Linked DNA regions of Anolis sagrei. The protein of the gene in region 2 interacts with the protein of the main gene of each other region in a biochemical or structural test. Links are inferred from orthologs where the notes say so. Each region holds a gene or a part of one and is shown on either strand. Other genes may lie near its edges. The genes, in order: HOXB1 and PBX1.

Region 1 (10,729 bases), on a different chromosome or scaffold from region 2:
CTGTGATATAGGGCAGTATGGAAAGGACCTCAGTCCAAGCTGGCAAATATCCTGATAAAGGAGACCTCTACTCCCTATAGAAGCAATAGTAATATTACATATTATTATTAATATTACATATTAATAATAATAATATTACATATTATTAGTAGTAATATTACATACTGTTAATATTAACATTAATAGTAATATTATAATATTCTGTAATATTATAGAAAAGTACACCTTGAGGTCTGGAAACATGACTATTCGTTGCTGCGTTTGACTCTAGGATTGCTTAGTGATGAAGGAATTAAACTCTGCACCAGGTTGGAGGCATTACAAATGGGTCCTCAGCTTGCCCTTAAAGTCACCCCAAATGTCTTAATTCAGCATAACCACCCCATCCCTAAATCTCATTGTAAATCCTGGGGATGAGCCTCCTTGGCTTTATGTGGAGTTAAAATAAAGCCAGAACCTCAAATCTAGACCCCCATTGATCCCTATTAGAGGAGATTCATCCAATCAAAGCAGTTTGCAGAAGTGTTATTTCTGATTCCAGTCTGGTTTGGATGAGCAATGGACCAGAGCTAGAAAGTTGGGCTAAACGAATAAAACTACAACTCCCAGGATTTCATAGCACTGAGCCATGGCAGTTAAAGTGGTGTCACACTGCTTTCATTCTACAGTGCAAAGGAACCCTCTATAGTTGTATTGTTTGTGTTTTTGTTTGTTTGTTTTGTTCTTGCACAAAGAAGCCTTCAGATATCCCGAAGCCATTTGCACAACGATGGAACTCAGGCCCCTTCCACACAACTGAATAAAATCCCACATTATCTACTTTGAATTGGAATATATGGCAGTGTGGACTCAGATAATCCCCTTCAAAGCAGATCTTGTGGGATTTTCTGCCTTTATATTCTGAGTTATATGGCTGTGTGGAGGGCTCTCGTTTTCCCCTTCTCCATATAGAGAATTGTGTTTGGGCTCAAGGTACCCAACAAAATTCAGTGCTGAAATTGGCTTTCCTTAAATCAGGACTTTCCCATTTTGAACTGATGAAGCCTACAGGAGTGAATAATTGAGGTATGCTTGTGGGAAGTGTCTCTCTTTCTGCTTATTCTTGTACCTTGACTCACTGTAAAGCTCTTTTAGGATCAGAAACTACAACTACTTCTGGGGATTCTGGGATCCATAGTCTTAAAGGGAACTTTCCTGAGCACTGAGATCCTTTGTGTCCATAGCTTTTATTGTTCTAGATCTTGTGTAAGATAGTTCTCATTCCCTAAACCTGGAGATAACTCTGTTGTGGTCTGTGGCAATGGACCATCTTCTCAAACAGAACCATTTTCAAGGAAAACAAACTTATTTCGTAGTGAGCAAAGACCCAAAGGTTGGTGTCGCAAAGAATGAACGAAATACCAGTGTGTATGTGTGTGTTGGGCCTAGAGGGGTTGGGGGTGAGGAGAAAGGCGCACTTTCCCTTTAGTCTAAGCCAACTCCTGTCCCCTCCTTTGATTGATGTGGAAGCTCTCTTTTTTGTTGAGAGCTCTCCATAGAGCCCACGAAAAAAGGCATACTGTGATATTTGGATGGCAAATACATGAAACTTAATGGAACTAAAGTTTCTAATATCCAAATTGTGGGATGGGAAAGTCACCCTTGTTCTGTGACTAAATGGTTATTTCTCTGGGGTGAGCAATATTTTCTGTCTTGGTTTACCATATGAACCAATTCAGTCTCTTAAATGCCCTAAAAGGGTCAGATCCGTTCTGATTTTGGAAGCTAAGTAGGATCAGCTCTGGTTAGTACTTGGACAGGAGACTACCAATGAATACTAGGTGCTGTAGACTATATTTCAGAGCTAAGGAGTCAAGCTTAGAGATTGGACCTACACTGCCCTATATCTTAGGACCTTATCACAGATTGTTTGGCAGTGTAGACTCATATAATCCAGTTCAAAGCAGATAATCTGGGATAAGATCCTGGGATATAGGGCAGTGTACATCCAACCTGAGTATCCCTTGCCTAGGAAAGCCCGACAAACCGTGGACAAGCTTGGAGTTACAAACACTTCCCTTTCCTGCAGTTTTTACCCTTTTCTTCTGGACCAGGGCATCAGGCAAGGATGCTGGTCTTCTTTCTTCCTTCTACAATCTTTGGAAGCATCATCCCCATCCCATCCTCTTCCTTATACATTCCCTTCTCCCAATCTAACCTCTTCCCTAGAGTAGTTAGACTGACAAAGGGAAAAACCTGCTATTCTGGATATAACTGGTGGCAAAGCAGGTCTTGGAAAGGCATCTAAGCAAAGGAGAGAACTATTTGTGGCCAAGAGAGAATTAGGATCTTCCAGATCCCCAGTCATGCTGGCTAGGGGTGTTCTTAGGCGTCTTCCACACAGCTGAATGAAATCCCACATTTTCTGCTTTGAACTGGGATATATGGAAGTGCGGACTGAGGGCCCTTCCACACAGCCATATAACCCAGAATATCAAAGCAGAATAACCCACAATATCTGCTTAGAACTGGGTTATTTGAGTCCACATTGCCATATATCCCAGTTCAAAGCAGATAATGTGGAATTTTATTCAGCTGTGTGGAAGGGGCCTCAGATAACCCACTTCAAAGCAGATATTGTGGGATTTTCTGCCTTGATATTCTGGGTTATATGGCTGTTTGGAAGGGGCCTTAGAGTTGTAGTCGGAAAAGAACCCCTCTCCCAAGTTTGGTCATAGTTACATCTCCAGGAAGGGAGATGCTTCTCTTGGGATGCTTTGAGGTACAACAAGGTGGGAGTCAACCTGGATGCTTCTCACACCAGAAGCGTTATCAACCCGCTCCTGACACACACACACACAAACCCCTGGGTGCAGTGTAGAAGGAGGTGGCTTCCTGAACCCTACATTTCTCCCCTTCTCTTGGGGCCCTTCCACACAGCCCTATATCCCAGAATATCAAGGCAGAAAATCCCACAATATCTGCTTTGAACTGAGATATCTGAGTCCACACTGCCATATATCCCAGTTCAAAGCAGAAAATGTGGGGTTTTATTCAGTTGTGTGGAAGGGGCCTTAGAGTTGTAGTCCAAAAATAATCCCTCTCCCAAGTTTGGTCATAGTTACATCTCCAGTAAGGCAGATGCTTCTGTTGGGATGCTTTGAGGTAGGACAAGATGGGGGTCAAACTGGATGCTTCTGACACCAGAAGAGACTTACAGTTTCTCGAGTCGCTCCTGACACCATTTCTCCCCTTCTCTTGGGGCTCTTCCACACAGCCCTATATCCTAGAATATCAAGGCAGAAAATCCTACATTATCTGCTTTGAACTGGGTTATTTGAGTCCTAACTCAGGGCCCTTCCGCACAGCCCTAGATCTGCTTTGAACTGGGTTATTTGAGTCCACACTCAGGGCCCTTCCGCACAGCCCTATATCCCATAAAATCAAGGCAGAAAATCCCACAATAGCTGCTTTGAACTGGATTATTTGAGTCCACACTCAGGGCCTTTCCACGCAGCCCTATATCCCTGAATATCAAGGCAGAAAATCCCACAATATCTGCTTTGTACTGGGTTATTTGAGTCCAAACTCAGGGCCTTTCCACACAGCCCTATATCTCCGAATAGCTAGGCAGAAAATCCCACAATAACTGCTTTGAACTGGATTATTTGAGTCCACACTCAGGGCCTTTGCACACAGCCCTATATCCCAGAATATCAAGGCAGAAAATCCCACAATATCTGCTTTGAACTGGGTTATCTGAGTCCACACTCAGATATTGTGGGATTTTCTGCCTTGTTATTCTGGGATATTGGGCTGTGTGGAAGGGCCCCAGGTTTCCCAAAAGTGCTGCCTGGGAGTTACCTGTTTTGGGGGGATTCCTTTTCACCTTCATCCAGTCGAAGGTTTGGCTGGTGGCGTTGGCAGCCTCCCCGTGTTGGGTCAAAGAGGCAGCCCTGGGGTCTTTGTGCTCAGGTAAAGGGGGCGAGAGGTTGCCGAAAGGGAAATAGCCGCCTTGTTCAGCCCCATAGAGGTGGGGTGGCTGGAACTGGCCCGTGGGATCGGCGCAGAAGCTGTCAGGTAGGCTCCCCAGGCCCGAAGCAGAAGAAGGAGAGGCCGAAGAAGAAGAGGGAGGCGTGGAGGGGGCCGCCAAAGCCACCGGGTAGGCCGAAGGCTGGTGGAAGTAGGCTCCCTCCGTCTCTGGGGGGCCGAGGTAGAACTGTTGGTTGAGGAAGCCTGCTCCGTAGAAGCCCCCACCGCCTGCCCCAGGCTGGGAGGACCGGGCGAAGGGGACACCAAGGCCAGTGGGGTTGGGAGGCAGTTGATGCTGGTGGTGCTGATGGTGGTGGAAGCTCTGTTGGGCGCTGGGTCCAGCAGCAGGGCCCACCCCAGCCGCCTCATAGCGTCCGTCTGAAGTGTAGCTGTCAAAAGCTGGAGAAGCACCGGGACCAGATGGGAAAGAAGGGGCTCCTGGGTCGAAGGGCTGCTGCTGCTGCTGTTGGGTCTGCTGCTGGTGAGGGTGGAAGTCCTTGGGCGCGTAGGCGCTCGTCCCACGGTTACAAATTGCATAGTCTAAGAAGAAGTTCATTCTAGGTATTGTTCCGGTGCCAATGATGGAAGAGGGTCGCCCTGTTTTACGGGGATTTCTTCTGCCCTACAACCTTTGGATAGTATGTCAAAGTTAAAGGGGGGAGGGAAAGGGAAGCGAGCCAGGGAGAAGGAGAGAGAGTCCCTTCCCATCTATGGACCTCGACTCCAGGAGCCCCCATATCCCCACCCCGCCTTCCTAGAGCCTTCAGAAAGGGACTCTTGGAAGAGGTTTGGGGGGGGGTGTAGAGTGTGTGGGGTTGGGGGTAGGGTGGAAAGGGGGTCCGGACCACGTGGTGGCTTTGGAGCCCAATGAGCAAAGGCCTCCCGAAGTTTGTCAGATATCTACCATCATCCATCAAGTCCTTGGCATTTGCATGACAAAGGAACTTCAATCAAACTTTTCCCCATCGATCTGATTAACAACACGGAGGTGTCAAAGGGGGTGTGTGTGTTTCTTCTCCCCCCTCCCCCCTTAGAGAGGAGAAGAAGAAGAAGAAGGGCAGAAAAGGAAGTGATAGAAGAAGGATGGGGGAGGAGAAGTTAGCACTATGCCAGGTCCCTTCTATGTGTTAAAAAGTCACTCTTCTCTGTGTTGCCGAAGGTTTCCATGCCCCGAATCACTGTGAGTTTTCTGGGCTGTATGGCCATGTTCCAAAAGCATTCTTTCCTGACGTTTCACCTACATCTATGGCAGGCATCCTCAGAGGTTGTGAGATCTATTGGAAACTAGGCAATTGAGGGTTTATGTAACTTTGGAATGTCCAGGATGGGAGAAAGAACTCTTGTCTGTTTGAGGCAAGTGTAATTGTTGCAATTGGCCATCTTTATTATAAATTAATGGCCTTGTAGCTTCAAAGCCTGGCTGATTGCTGCCCAGGGATCCTTTGTTGGGAGATATTAGCTGCCCCTGATTTATTCTTGTCTGGAATTCTCCTGGTTGTTTTTTTTTTGTTTTGTTTTGTTTTGGTTTTTTTGGGGGTTTTTTGGGGGTTTATTTATTTATTTATTTTTAGTGTTGCTCTTTGTTTGTCTCGGCTGCTGTGAGTTTTCCGGGCTGTATGGCCAAATTCCAGAAGCATTCCCTCCTTCATTTTCCCTTCATTTATGGTAGGCATCCTCAGCGGTTGAGAAGACAGAACTCTTGTCTGTTTGAGGCAAGTGTGAATGTTGCAATTGAATGTGGTAGAGGCTCCTTCTTTGGAAGATTTTAAACAGAGTCAGTGGTTCTCAACCTGGGGTCCTCAGATGTTTTTGGCCTACAACTCCCAGAAATCCCTGCCAGTTTACCAGCTGTTAGGATTTCTGGGAGTTGAAGGCCAAAAACATCTGGGGACCCCAGGTTGAGAACCACTGGGCATATGGCCATCTGTCGGGGGTGCTTTGAATGCAATTTTCCTGCTTCTTGGCAGGGGGTTGGACTGGATGGCCCACGAGGTCTCTTCCAATTCTATGATTCTATTACTACCTTGATTAGCATTGAATAGCCTTTCAGCTTCAAGCTCTGGCTGCTTACTGCCTGGGGGCAGGTATTAGCTGGCCCTGATTGATTCATTTCAGAGCACAGTACTTCCCTTGGCGGCCAGACCTTGAAGCTGAAAGGTTATTCAATGCTAATCAAAGTGACAGATTGCAACATTCACACCTGCCTCAAACACACAAGAGTTCTTTGAGAACACAAGAATGCTGGACCACTGTAACAACTACCATGTTAGACTACACAGAGAAGTCACTGAAATCCACAACCATGTGGACAATTTCAACAGAAAGGAGGAAACCATGAAAATGAACAAAATCTGGCTACCAATATTAATAAAACTCTACAATCAGGACAGTAAGTAAAGAACAACACTAAAAAAGGATTCCAGACATGAAGAAATCAGGGCCAGCTAACAGTTCCCGACAAAAGGTTCCCCTAGGCAGTAAGCAGCCAGACCTTGAAGCTGAAAGGCTATTCAATGCTAATCAAGGTGGCCAATTGCAACATTCATACCTGTCTCAAACACACAAGAGTTCTTTGAGAACACAAAAATATTGGACCACTGTAACAACTACCATGTCAGACTACACAGAGAAGTCACTGAAATCCACTACCATGTGGACAATTTCAACAGAAAGGAGGAAACCATGAAAATGAACAAAATCTAGCTACCAGTATTAAAAAAAAACCTCTAAAATCAGGACAGTAAATAAAGAACAACACTCAAAAAACAGGGGGATTCCAGACATGAAGAAATCAGGGCCAGCTAACAGTTCCCGACAAAGGATTCCCCCAGGCTTTGAAGCTAAAAGGCTATTCAATGCTAATCAATGTGGCCAATTGCAACATTCACATCTGCCTCAAACAGACAAGAGTTTTTTTCTCCCACTCTGGAAATTCTACAGATATATAAACCCAATTGCCTAGTTTCCAACCTCTGAGAATGCCTGCCATAGATGCAGGCGAAACGTCAGGAAATAATGCTTCTGGAACATGGCCATGCAGCCCGGAAAACTCGTAGCAACCCATTCTTCTCTCCCCGAATTCCAGTTCCTATAAAGGTGGCAAAAATCATCACAACTTTCCATTGGGAGAGAAGAGTTTGGCTCCCCTTCCAACTTGAGGAGACTCAGTATGGCGAGGGTGGGAAGAGGAAAGAGCGACAGAGGAGAGGATGCTTTCCCTCCCCTCGTTACAAGAAATTAATCACCGAAAAGCTACTTCCACGTTTATGGAGTTTGCTTAAAGTGCTTTTGTTGCTGTCCCTTCAAGGGGAAAAAAATAGAAATAAAATCCCAAGCCCCCGAATAGCTTCGCTCTGCGCCTCCCTCGCCTTTGTGTCTAGAAGCGGAGTGCTTAAGAGCAATTTAATTCAATCAACATTCTAATGAGTTGTGAAATAAAGTTAGAAATGCAATTTGCCTTTTGTTGAAAGAGGGGTGGGGGTGGGGAGAGCCCAAACGAAATTGAAACGCGATCTACCCTATCCATCCATCTCTCTAAGTCTAAGCCATCTCTCCCTGCATTGGTGTTGTGGTTCATTTTCATCCCTCTCCACCTCGAGTTTTTCACACGATTTCTCACCCTTGTTCCTTTCTCCTCAGAAACTATTATGACAGCGTGTTGTGGAAGGCTTTCATGGCCGGAATCACTGGGTTGCTGTGAGTTTTCCTGGGCTGTATGTCCATGTTCCAGAAGCATTCTCTCCAGACGTTTCGCCTGCATCTATGGCAGGCATCCTCAGAGGTTGTGAGGTCTGTTGGAAACTAGGCAAGAGGGGTTTATATATCTGTGGAAAGTCCATATATCAAGGGAACCATTGACAGCATTGGGAAGCTGATGAATAAACACAACCTACAAACAAATCTACAGATCCCCTACAACAGCCTTTCTCAACCTGAGGGTTGAGACCCCTGGGGGGGGGGGGGGGGTCGTGAGGGTCGCTAAAGACAATCAGAAAAAACAGTATTTTCTGTTGGTCATGAGGATTCTGTGTGGGAAGTTTGGCCCAATTCTATAACTGGTGGGATACAGAATGCTCTTTGATTGTAAGTGAACTATAGGTCCCAGCAACTACAACTCCAAAATGTCAAGATTTATCCCCCCCCCCCCCCCCAACTCCACCTGTGTTAACATTTGGGCATATTGAGGATTCATATCGAATTTGGTCCAGATCCATCATTGTTTGAGTCCACAGTGCTCTCTGGATGTAGGAGAACTACAACTCCCAAACTCAAGGTTAGTACCCATCAAACCCAGTATTTTCTGTTGGTCATGGAAGTTTTGTGTGTCAAGTTTGGTTCAATTCCATTGTAGGTGGACTTCAGAATGCTCTTTGATTGTAGGTGAACTATAAATCCCAGCAACTACAACTCCCAATGACAAAATCAATCTCCCTAACCCCACCAGTATTCAAATTTGAATGTTTTGGGTATTTGTGCCCAAACTGGTCCAGTGAATGAAAATACATCCTGCATATCAGATATTTGCATTATGATTCATAACAGTAGCAAAATTACAGTTATGAAGTAGCAACAAAGATAATGTTATGGTTGGGGGTCACCACAACATGAGGAACTGTATTAAGGGGTTGTGGCATTAGGATGGTCGAGAACCACTGCAGCAAGAAAACCCAACAAATGCTATTTTCAGCAAAGGACAAGAGGGATCCTCTCACCTCTGCAGGAGTCTACCATAAACCATGCAGCGCTGGACAAGTCCACATAGGAACCACCAAATGCAGGATTGCCCAGACACAAATAAAGGAATAATGAAAGGCACGCAGATTAACTCAACCTGAGAAGTTAGTCATAGCAGAGCTTGAAAACAACAATCCCTATTTTTTGTGCTGGTGAAAAGTTCTAGCAAACTTGAAAGCATACACCTTTCTGTCACAGCATATTCTTTCAGAACACAGAAATGTTGGACCACTCTAACAACCACCATATCAGACTACACAGAGAAGCCACTAAAACCCACAAGCATGTGGACAATTTCAACAGAAAGAAGGAAACTATGAAAATGAACAAAATCTGGCTACCATATTTTTAAAAAATCTAAAATCAGGACAGTAAATAAAGAGCAACATTCAGAAAAGAGGGGAATTCCAGACAGAAAACAAGGTCAGCTAACACCTCCTAACAAAGGATTCCCTCAGGAATTAAGCAGCCAGTCCTTGAAACTGCAAGGCCTTTCAATGCTAATCAAGATGGCCAGTTGCTACATTAACACTTGCCTCAAACAGACAAGAGTTCTTTTACCCACCCTGGACTTTCCACAGATATAGGAGGGTTCAATGAAAAGTAATGCCTCCACCTCAATAGATGGCAGTACTGGTATGTGGCAGGTACTGTCTTGTTCAGTAGACTTTCCTCTACAGTTCCATTTTGGCAGGAAGCCTTAGCATTCTATTGTCGAAGGCTTTCATGGCTGGAATCACTAGGTTCTTGTGGGTTTTTTTGGGCTATATAGCCATGTTCTAGAGGCATTTTCTCCTGACATTTCACCTGCATCTATGGCAAGCATCCTCAGAGGTAGTGAGGACCTCACTACCTCTGAGAATGCTTGCCATAGATGCAGGCGAAACGTCAGGAGAAAATGCCTCTAGAACATGGCTATATAGTCCGAAAAAACCCACAAGAACCTAGCCTTAGCATTGAGCGGTTAGTCAATGTGACTGCAACCATTGAATTCTTGACAGCAGAAGGTATCACCCCAAGGATGCACAGTACTTACATCAACACAGTTTGCATAAGCTGATGAATCTTCTTTGGGATGACATTTTCTGCTGTCAAGAATTCAATGACTGCACACTGCTTAAGTCGCATTGACCAACTGTCTGTGCAGGGTTCCATACTTCACACTTTAACAGCACAACTGTTCAATGCTAAGGCTTCCTGCCAAAATGGAACTGTAGAGGAGAGTCTACTGAACAAGCCAGTACCTGCCGCATACCAGTACTGCCATCTGTTGATGGAGGCATTCGTTTTCATTCAGCCCTCATATAAACCCTAGTATTCAACAAACCTCACACCCTCTGAGGATGCCTGATATATTGACCTCACAAATCCGGTTACTGCCTCCTGAAGAGTTTTGGGGTTTGTAGTTTAGGGAGGAGCCTTTAACAAAAAGACTTGGAGATTTTACAAAGCACAGAGCTCAAATAACGCATTGGGATGCCTCAGAAGGCTTGTTTTCGTTGAGAGGAAAGGGGCAAGGTTGTCACCTAGTCTTTTGCCTTCCCAGCAAATGTTTCTCAGGGCCAAATTGGCTGAGCTGAAGGGGAAGAAAAAAACTCCCAAACAAAACAGAATTCCCCCCTTAGCTCTCCAAGTGAACTTTTGGCCTGCCTGAACCCTCTGCTCACACTCTTCGTGGGCTGAGCGCCCAGTAAATATCCTGACAAGTAACAAATGAGCGTGGGCGTCGGATTGGAAGTTACTCTTGTCCTGGGCGCGCTAACAAGTAAATAAATGTTGCTGGCCTGGTTCTCCCTTCTGTTGTGGAGGGAGTCGCCTCCCTTTTGTCAATGTCAACAGAGAAAGGGCCAAATCAGAAGAACCTGGGAGGCAAATGGAAGGGTCTCATTTTCAGAACAAAGGGGAAAGATAGATATAAGGAGTTAAATAAGACTATCCTCATGATTGAACAATTGTAATAAGTATAGCAAGAGTAGTAAACTGT
Region 2 (10,732 bases):
TCGCTATTAACAGATCAATACTAGGAGCCATTGCTATGTCTAATGGTAATCTTTTCCAACTATGTAGGAAATGACAATATCTGCTTCTCCAATTTTTTTATTCTACCATACATTCCAATTTTTTTGCACAGATGCTGTTTCAGGAAAGACTGAAAAAATCCTTTGACGAGAAAAGCCAAGGTATAGAATTTCAGCTCTTAAGTTTAAAAATATAGCACTGCCAAGAAAAGCACATATGTAATTCAGCGAGGGGGAATTTGATTACTTTTATGCTCTTGTTTTACTGCTTTCTTATTTCAAGGTGTTAAACTCAGAATGCTTTTATAAAATTGAAATACGAAACATAATAACCAAAATATCTTACTGCCTTAGATAATAGATGAACAGCTAGAATGTATACGGTTTTCCTCCTTCCTCCCCAGCAGCACCAACTTTCTTGCAGCTGCTAGCATGTGAGGAATCTATTTATTAGGTTCATTAGTTTTATGTCCCAGTGGATGCCCATTTAGGGAAAGAAATGGGTTGTGGTGGTGCTAGTTATTATTATTTCATAGCCTCCTTAAAGTTATCCTTCCTAGAAAAGCTCTGTGAAGGTTTGTTACAATATGAAAAAGGTATAATTTAATCAGCGATCGGTTGAATAATGTTTTAAGCCAAAGCTACATGCCATGGAAATGTAAACACTTTGGTACCTAAGTCGGAAAAGCACAGAGCAACATCTCCTTTCATTGATTAGTAAGAAGCACAACCCAATGAGAGGTTCTTCATCAGAAGGTCTGTGAAGACTTTGGACAGTTCCTAATGTCTACAATGGGACTTATACAGGAAAACAACCCAGGGTGTTGTGCTCCATGTGACAAATCAATCTGCCCCCTCTTCCTCTGTTGCCTTTAGTGGCACCCCAAATCCTCTGCTTGAGAGGGCTGACATTCTTGTGCCACAGCTGGACTGCTTCTGTGTGTGCATCTGGTACACAAGCACTGCTTCTGTTTCCAGAATATGTATTTGGCCAGGCACTCAAGACAGTATAAAAAACCCCAGAAAGACTACAGCAACATCATCATCACTTCAATCTGACATCCCTGAAATACCTTAAAATATAGAACTAGTTGCTATAAGAAAAACAAAAATGCTTTTCTTATTTAAAAAATCTGTCAGTACTACAAGGAACATGTAAACATTAATCAGTTGGGGGGAAATCACGTCATTATCAATGTGTTGGCTTCCACCAAAAATACATTTATGCACAAAACATTTAATAACATAATACTCCTCCTTGCCTTTTCTTCAGCCATCCTGGGAAACACCGGCCAAAAGTTTGTTGAGATGGCATTTCTCAGTCTAACCATCATACTGAATTCGATGGATTTTCTACCAGTTGTTCTGATGTATTTTAATGATTTATGTGTTTAGCTAGTTTTAATTTTTATAGTGTAATCACTTTTAAATTTTGTATTTTGTGAATTTTAAAATATTTTTATGTTTTAAACTTTTTCAATCTTGGACTAGGAAAAAGATGAGATATAAAATATTTCTGAACAGACAGACAGACATGGGGCTCAAAGTGATTTGTTACAGCCTAATAAATGTGCAGTTTCCCAGCAATAGTTTATTATTGGTTACTCCACTGCATAATACAAAATGCAGATGTTGAAATACTGAGTTCTTCTTCAGGTAAAATCTAATTGACAGTGTGCCAGTCCCCTCCCTCCTTTCCCTTCTGTAAGATCATGTCTTTGTTTTTTGCATTTTTCAAATGGTGTTGCATATTACCGTTGAGGTAATGTTTTGCAAAATCCTTCATGCTTTACTTGCCAGATTCTGTTGAATGCCTTGTTTCTTTTTTAAGAAACACTATTTTTTAAAATAAAATGTGTAACATGAGACTATTAGAACTATTAAATCACCCAAATGGAAAAATACAATTGGAGATATACTGAAGCATTTCAAAATAAACCCAAGATCATTTTTAAATTCCTTCTCGTTCCATGAGCTCCAAGCTGTATGATGGCTTGTGTGACAAAGTGAACAAGTGAGAGATAACACAACAGAGCTGTGCAGCTTGCCTCATATTCCAGTGTCCTCAAGATATTCCGGTGGCTATTGTCACACAGCGATTTCCCCATGGTCACCTAACTGGAAATACCTTCTGTGTTCAACGGCTATAAGGATATGAATTAGCATTTTAGTGGTTGGTTTCTATTAGGCTCTGTATTCAATTAATAACCTTAAATCTGGTGTGTCTTGACACTGTGGAGAAAAGACAGACACCAAACACAGAGTCCCTTCCACATAGCTGTATAAAATCCACACTGAACTGGATTATATGGCTGTGGGGATTCAGATAACCCAGTTCAGTGCAGATATTCTGGGTTATATGGCTAAGTGGAAGGGCCCCAATTCTAACTAAAGCTGCAGTGTTTACCAATACAAAAGAAGAAAGCATGCTCTCCTCACAGGGAAGGCCACAGAGCAACAAGAAATGTGGGAGATCAAGTCCATTGATTTCCATCAGATTAGCTGAGTTTAACTTTTCTTTTCAGACTGTGGTTAAGGCCCCTTCCACACAGCTGTATAAAATCTCACATTATCTACTTTGAACCGGGGGCCTTTCCACACAGCCCTATATCCCAGAATATCAAGGCAGAAAATCCCATATTATCAGAGTGTGGATTCAGATAACCCAGTTCAAAGCAGATATTGTGGGATTTTCTGCCTTTATATTCTGGGATACAGGGCTGTGTGGAAGGGCCCTGGGTTATATGGCAGCGTGGACTCAGATAACCCAGTTCAAAGCAGATATTGTGGATTACCTACCTTGATATTTTGACTTATAGGGCTGTGTGGAAGGGTCCTAGGAGACTGAAATGGTAGTTATGACAGAGAAGGCCCCACTTACGCTGCCATTATCATGCATCCTTGCACCTTATTATATGGTCAGTATAGACTCATATAATCTAAAACGGCATTATAGGAGTGATTTAAATGATTGTGTTTATGTTTTAGTAATGCTGTAACTCATCTTGAGCCTTGAGGAGAGGCGGGCAAGAAATAAAAAATATCGAATTTTCTGGGCTATATGGCCAAGTTCCAGAAGCATTCCCTCCTGACATTTCACCCACATCTATGGCCGGCATCCTTTGAGGTTGTGAGGTCTGTTGGAAACCAGGCAAGTGAGTTTAATATATCTGTTGAATGTCTTTTCTTCCACTATTGGCTATTGCACAGATAGATAAACCTCACTTGCCTAGCTTCCAACAGACCTCACAACCTCTGAGGATGCTTGCCATAGATGTGGGTGAAACATCAGAAGAGAATGCTTCTGAAACATGGGCATACAGCCCGGAAAACTCACAGCAAACCAGTGATTCCGGCCATGACAGCCTTCGACAACACAAAATTATTTATTACTAGCCGTCCCCTACCACGTGTTGCTGTGGCCCAGTCTATGTATATGTGCTTTGTGTGTGCATATATTTTTGTATATGTGTGTTTGCGTGTATATATATATATATATATATATATATATGAGTGTGTGTGGTTTTGCGCATGCATTGTAATGTATTTTTTTTTGTAATGCTGTGTTTTTCAGTGTTTTTATGAGTTATGGTTACTCATTGGCCTGATAGGTGTATTGTGTCCAAATTTGGTGTCAATTCGTCCAGTGGTTGTTGAGTCATGTTAATCCCACAAACGAACGTTACATTTTTATTTATATAGATTATTATTATTATTACACTGAGCTTATAATGCAGTGCACCACCTGTATGGCCCCCCACGAGGGTCTTCCTTTAGGGGCAAACCAAGAATGGGCAACTTGGAAGTCCCTGAACATCCTCAGAAGTGGAGTGGGCAGATCAAAAGACAGCCTGGCAAAATGGCACTATGTAAAAGAATCCCACACCTTGTGTGACCGTGGAGCAGAACAGACAACTCTGCATCTGTATGCTTGTCCACTTTGCCCTGCCTCATGTACAGAGGAAGAATTGTTGGAGGCTACAGACAATGCAATAGCTGTTGCCCGTTTTTGGTCAAAAGATATTTAGCCACCTGCGCTCCTTCTATTTTTATCAGTTTGATACTAATTTGTGCAATGCTTTGGATACAAAATAAATAAATAAATAAATGCGCTGTAATGGCAGTGTAGCTTTTGATATGAAATAAATGCAGTGCAATCTGCAGTGTAGTTTCCAAAAGAGCAAACAAGGCTTACTGTTTTCCCCCCCAATGTCTCAATAACAAAAATCCTTGCTACTGACAGTCTTTCTGTGTGTTAGAAAATAAACCCATCTGTATGCTTGCCCACTATGCCCTGCCTCATGTACAGAGGAAGAATTGTTGGAGGCCACAGACAATGCAATTGCTGTTGCCCGTTTTTGGTCAAAATGTATTTAGCCGCCTGCGCTCCTTCTATTTTTATCGGTTTGATACTAATTTGTGCAATGCTTTGGATATGAAATAAATGAATAAATGCAGTGCAATTTATTTATTTATGCATATTTCACTGCAATGGCAATGTAGTTTCCAATAGAGCAAACAAGGCTTACTATTTCCCCACACACACATCTCAATGACAAAAATCCTGGCCACTGACAGTCTTTCTGTGTATTAGAAAATAAATCCTGAAGCTTTTCTCTATCTCAAAAACCACTAGTATAACGACTGAGATCTACAAAATAAATGAATAAATGCAGTGCAATCTGCAGTGTAGTTTCCAAAAGAGCAAAGAAGGCTCACTATCCCCCCCCCCCCCCCCCAATATCTCAATAACAAAAATCCTGGCCACTGACAGTCTTTCTGTGTATTAGAAAATAAACCCTGAAGCTTTTCTCTCTCTCTCTCTCTCAAAAATCACTAATATAAGGACTGAGATCTCAGCTGAGGAGCAGATGGATGCTGAAAGAGAACATCACCCCTAAAGCTGGACTTGGAGAAGGAGAGAGGGTGTGAGGGTTGCCTGGGAAAGGAATAAAGGGCTGCTTGGTTCCTGCAGGTCTCAAGACCCAACTTAGCCGAGCCAATCTCTCTCTCTTCAGGGATGTCTGAGGAGAAAGGAGGGAAGGGAAGGGAAGGGATGGGGAAGGGTCGGCCCTGCTCACCTGGCCTGCGCCTCGTCCAGGCTCTGGTCGGTGATGGTCATGATCTGCTGGAGGATGTCTCCGATGTCCTGCTTGCGCCCTCCGCCCTCGCTTTCGGCGGGCCCGGCCCCGTCGGGCAAGTGCTGCGCCAGGCCCGGGTGCCCGGCCATGCCCACCACCGCCGACGCCGCGTGAGAGTGCATCAGCCGGGGCTGGTCGTCCATGCTGGGCCCGCCGCGGGGCCCCCGACCAGGGGGGGCTCCTCAGGAGGACGAGGCGGCGGAGGCGAAGAAGAAGTCTCCCTCAGCTTTTCCCTCTTCCGCTTTTGTGTGTGTGAGGGAGAGAAAGAGTGGCGCTGGGAGACCCGCCGCTTAATCCCTCCTCAGCAAACCCGCCTCAGTCTGGACGGGAGAAGCCGCGCAAACTTTCCCTCAGCGAAGCAGGCGGGCGGGCGGGCGGCCCTCGTCGTGGCTGGCCCCTCCCTCGGGCGGCGCAACTCCTCCGCCGCCTTCCTCGCAGGACCCCGCTTTTGTTTGAGGCGCAGGACGGACGGAACACTGGGACTGGCACGGGAACGGCGGAGCCAGGCAGGAAGGAGCAGGAGAGGGAGGGAGGGAGGGAGAGGGAGGGGCCGAGGGCAGCGCTGCGAAGGGCGCCCCTCCGCTCTGATTGGCCGCCGCCGGCAACAGCGCCTAGCTCCGCCCCTTTCTCTGCTGCCATCATCAGCCGCCACCCAAAGCGGGTTCAGAGATAGGCGGCGGCGCGGAAGCTCCGGGCCCGAAGGGGGCAGGCGCGCGCTCGCCCTCCTCTCGCTCTCTCGCTCTCTTTCTCCCCCCCCCCCCCTCTTTCTCTTTCTCTCTGTAGCCGGTTTGTCCCGAGATCGATTTGACTCTTTTTTCCCTGCTTTTTCATCCCGATTCTGATCTGAGGAACTTTAGTCCCCAGAGTTAGAACTTACTTATTTATTTCCTGTCAAAAGTAGTGTATAAATATATTTTCGAAGGCTTGTTGTAGTTTTTTCGGGCTATATGGCCATGTTCTAGAGCAGTGGTTTATTTATTTATTTTATTTGGGGTTCTTGTACCCCGCCCTTCTCACCCCATAAGGGACCCAGGGCGGCTTACAACAGCAAAGGCACGCTTAGATGCCTGCCACACAAAACAATCATCACAAAAGTACAACAATTCATAGTTACCACAATTCATGCAATTATCCCAATAAAATTAGTAAAATCCATAAAATCAATACAAACCTAGTTCTTCCTCCTACCCTGTCAGTGTACACTAACTCATAGATCTGTTTTTGATTCCACTTCGACAATCCTGCTGATCTTGCTCGTCTGATTGTCTTATTTAATTGTCTTATTTAATTGCCTGGTTGCCCAAAGGCCTGGTCCCATAACCACTTCTTCATCCTCCTCCTGAAGGAGAGGAGGGATGATGATGCTCTGATTTCCCCCGGGAGTGAGTTCCACAGGTGAGGGGCCACCACTGAGAAGGCCCTGCTTCTCGTCCCCACCAGCCTCACTTGTGAAGGGAAATACGTTCGGACAGATACACTGGACCGGAACTGTACAGGGTTTTGTAGGTCAAAACCAGCACCTTGAATTGTGCTCGGAATTGAACCGGCAGCCAGTGGAGCTGACACAGCAGGGGGGTAGTGTGCTCCCTGTATGCTGCTCCAGTGGGCAATCTGGCTGCTGCTCGCTGGACTAGTTGAAGTTTCCGAACAGTCTTCAAGGGCAACCCCACATAGAGCGTGTTGCAGTAGTCTATTCAGGATGTAACAAGAGCATGGACCACCATGGCCAGATCAGACTTCCCAAGGTACGGGCGCAACTGGTGCACAAGTTTGAATTGCGCAAAAGCTCTCCCGGCCACCGCCGAGACCTGGGGTTCCAGGCTCAGCGATGAGTCCAGGATCACTCCCAAGCTGCGAACCTGAGTCTTCAGGGGGAGTGTAACCCCATCCAGTACAGGCTGTAACCCTATACCCTGTTCGGCCTTACGACTGACCAGTAGGACCTCTGTCTTGTCTGGATTCAATTTCAATTTGTTAGCTCTCATCCAGTCCGACACAGCAGCTAGACACCGAGTCAAGGTCTGGACAGCCTCCTTGGGGACAGGTGAGAAGGAGTGACAGATCTGGACATCATCTGCATAGAGATAACACCGCAGTCCGAAACTCCGAATGATCTCCCCCAGCGGCTTCATGTAGATATTAAACAACATTGGGGACAGAATTGATCCCTGAGGGACTCCACACGACAATGGCTGTGGGGCCGAACAGGTGTCACCCAGTAACACCTTCTGGGACCGTCCCTCAAGAAATGACCGGAGCCACTGCAAAGCAGTACCCCCGAGTCCCATCTCTATGAGTTGTCCCAGAAGGATACCATGATCGACGGTATCGAAGGCCTCTGAGAGGTCCAGCAGAACTAACAGGGACACACTCCCCCTGTCTAGCTCCCAGCGTAGATCATCTCCCAAGGCGACCAAGGCTGTTTCCGTTCCATGTCCCGGTCTAAAGCCAGACTGTGCCAGTTCTCAACCTTCCTAATGCCGCGACCCCTTAGTACAGTTCCTCACGTTGTGGTGACCCCCAACCATAACATTTTCATTGTTCCTTCGTAACTATAATTTTGCTACTGTTACGAATTGTAATGTAAATATCTAATATGCAGGATGTATTTTCAATTCCCAAATACCCAATATGCCCAAATTTGAATACTGGTGGGGTTGGGGGATTGATTTTGTCATTTGGGAGCTGTAGTTGCTGGGATTTATAGTTTACCTACAACCAAAGAGCCTTCTGAACACCACCAATGATGAAATTGAACCAAACTTGGTACACAGGACTCCCTTGACCAAGAGAAAATACTGGGAGGATCTGGTGGACATTGACCTTGAATTTTTGGAGTTGTAGTTCACCTACATCCAGAGAGCACTGTGGACTCAAACAATGATGGATCTGGACCAAACTTGGCACAAATACTCAATATGCTGAAATGTGAACACTGGGGGAGTTTGAGAAAAATAGACCTTAACATTTGGGAGTTGTAGTTGCTGGGATTTATAGTTCACCTACAACGAAATAACATTCTGAACCACACCAACGATAGAATTGGACCAAACTTTGGACCACCAGTTTGAGGGAGTGTGACCTGGCCCTCTGCATTGTGGGGAAGCATACAGATGTGAAGTTATTTGTTATGCTTCACAATCGCACAAGGTGGGGGATTCTTCTAGGTAGTGCCATTTTGCCTGGTTGTCCAGGCAATATATTATATTACATTATATTGCATTATATTATACTATATTATATTATATTATTATATTATTAGCATAGCACAGGAGACAAAGTGGAACTGTCCCCTGGCCCCCTCTCTCTTCACTCTGGCCCAGAGCAGCAATTGGTGCTGGGGAGAGGGGTCCCTAACTGATTATTATTTAACCTCAGCAGAATGAAAGCCAAAACCAAGGTCACAACAACTGTTATAGAACTCCAATATGTTGATGATAATGTGGTCTGCGCCCATTCAGAAGAGACCTACAAGCCACTCTAAACACCTTTGCAGAAGCATACAAGAAGTTTGACCTCTCACTGAACATCGAGAAAACCAAAGTGCTTTTTCAACACACACTATCCAATTATTATTTGCAAGTCACAAGTGCAGTTAGTAGAGAAGAGAGACAGGGCCTTCTCTGTGGGGGCCCCTTGGCTCTGGAACTCCTTCCCCAGCAAGATTAGATCAGCGCCCTCCCTCCTGACCTTTAAAAAAAGATCAATATATGGTTTTGGGACCAAGCTTTTGGTTATTAAAATAATGCAGTACAAAGAATAATTAAGGAACATGTGCAATGACAATTCAGAATGGCTATGGTGTACAATTTTTGGATCATGTGATTTTAACAATTATACTAGGACGATTTTAATATTTCATCTGAATCTTTAAATTTTATTTATATCTTATGTTTGTTTTATTTTTGTGTGTTTTACATTGTTTTTTACTGTAGGTTGGCATTGAATTTTTGCCATACTATGTTGTAAACAGCCTTAAGTCCCCCCAGGGGTGAGAAAGGTGGTATATAAATACAATAAATAAATAAATAAATAAATAAATAAATAAATATTATTATTATTATTTATACCCTGCTTTCTATCTCCATATGGAGACTCAAGGCAGCTCCCAATTAAAAGTATTACAAATTGATCACCAATTCTAAAATCGATCACCACTTCTTGTTTCCACAACGTGCCACATTTTTCAAAATCCAGATATTACAGGAATAGAAAGTGATTTGAAATCTTTTAAATAAGGTCATAGATAGCAAAGCAACCCTTTCATATGCTATCTAAAGTATATATGTCTGTGTGTCTACACACACTTTGAATAGCATAGGGTATAGAGAGAGAGAGAGAGAGAGAGAGATAGTTTGGTGGAAGTTACACTTAGAAATGCACCTGTTCTGACTTACACACAAATTCGACTTAAGGTCAAAGCTATAGAACCTGTCTTGTTCATAATTTGGAGACTGCCTGTATAGCATAGTAACAAACAAAGAAAATCAAAGTATAGTAGCAAGATTCATCTTTCCATTAATAGAAATGAGAATTGTGCAGCTTTAAAAAGAGAATATTTAATTTATCCAGTTTGTTCTCGGCCTCCATGTCTTTCTCAGCTTGAAACTACAAAGGAAAAACAGAAAGTATCCAATAAAATGATCAGTAGTACAATTTAATTTTTTCATAATACTGAACAACTGTTACTATTTGGTCATGATGTGAACAACAAACCTAATGGATCTGCCTAGTGGAAGAGTTCCAGTTCATTACAACTGCCAGTGTCATTTTTGTTGCATTTTTCTATAGGAAAGATTATGGTCATTTAGGGCAAGGCTACTTAAACTTTTTCTACTTGTGACCCCTTTTTGCTCAATAATTTTTTACAGAACCCCAGGTATATAAGTATATAAAATAGGTATACAAATCAAACATTCACTGAAAATAAATAATAAAGAAATGCATTTTAAACAGTTATTTGATATACATATAATTTTACTATTTATTAAAGATGAAAGCAAATTTGCATACTATTGAAGTGGATGTGCTTATTTTTTAATACATAAAGAATTAAACCTTGGCTGAATATTTGATGCTGCAGGCTGTAGAGCAGTGTTTCTCAACCTGGGGGTCGGGACCCCTGTGGGGATCGTGAGGGGGTGTCAGAGGGGTCGCCAAAGACCATTAGAAAACACAGTATTTTCTTTTGGTCATGGGGGTTCTGTGTAGAAAGTTTGGCCCAATTCTATCATTTGGTCCAGATCCATCATTGTTTGAGTTTTGCTCTTAGATTGCTTTTTGATTGTTGGTGAACTATAAATCCCGGAGCCCCCAGTGGCGCAGTGGGTTAAACTGTTGAGCTGCTAAAACTTGTTGACTGAAAGGTTGCAGGTTCGAATCTGGGGAGCTGCATGAGCTTCCACTGTTAGCCTCAGCTTCTGCCAACCTAGCAGTTCAAAAACATGCAATTGTGAGTAGATCAATAGGTACCGCTCCAGCGGGAAGGTAGCAGTGTTCCTTGCAGTCATGCTGGCCACATGACCTTGGAGGTGTCTATGGACAACGCTGGCTCTTCGGCTTAGAAATGGAGA

What was found.
Region 1: the proteins of PBX1 (region 2) and HOXB1 are reported together in a solved structure, tested with the Homo sapiens proteins (2 studies listed by BioGRID and IntAct, with this or other methods). The link is inferred for Anolis sagrei from reciprocal best matches to the Homo sapiens genes PBX1 and HOXB1.

What each region holds. Positions count from the first base shown.
Region 1 is NC_090026.1:33,307,491-33,318,219, reverse strand, and holds the start of HOXB1 (homeobox protein Hox-B1), read right to left. Parts: upstream 4,568-10,729; coding exon 3,844-4,567; intron 1-3,843. UniProt on the Homo sapiens protein: Sequence-specific transcription factor which is part of a developmental regulatory system that provides cells with specific positional identities on the anterior-posterior axis. Acts on the anterior body structures.
Region 2 is NC_090024.1:131,832,014-131,842,745, reverse strand, and holds the start of PBX1 (pre-B-cell leukemia transcription factor 1), read right to left. Parts: upstream 5,701-10,732; 5' UTR 5,303-5,700; coding exon 5,100-5,302; intron 1-5,099. UniProt on the Homo sapiens protein: Transcription factor which binds the DNA sequence 5'-TGATTGAT-3' as part of a heterodimer with HOX proteins such as HOXA1, HOXA5, HOXB7 and HOXB8. Binds to the DNA sequence 5'-TGATTGAC-3' in complex with a nuclear factor which is not a class I HOX protein.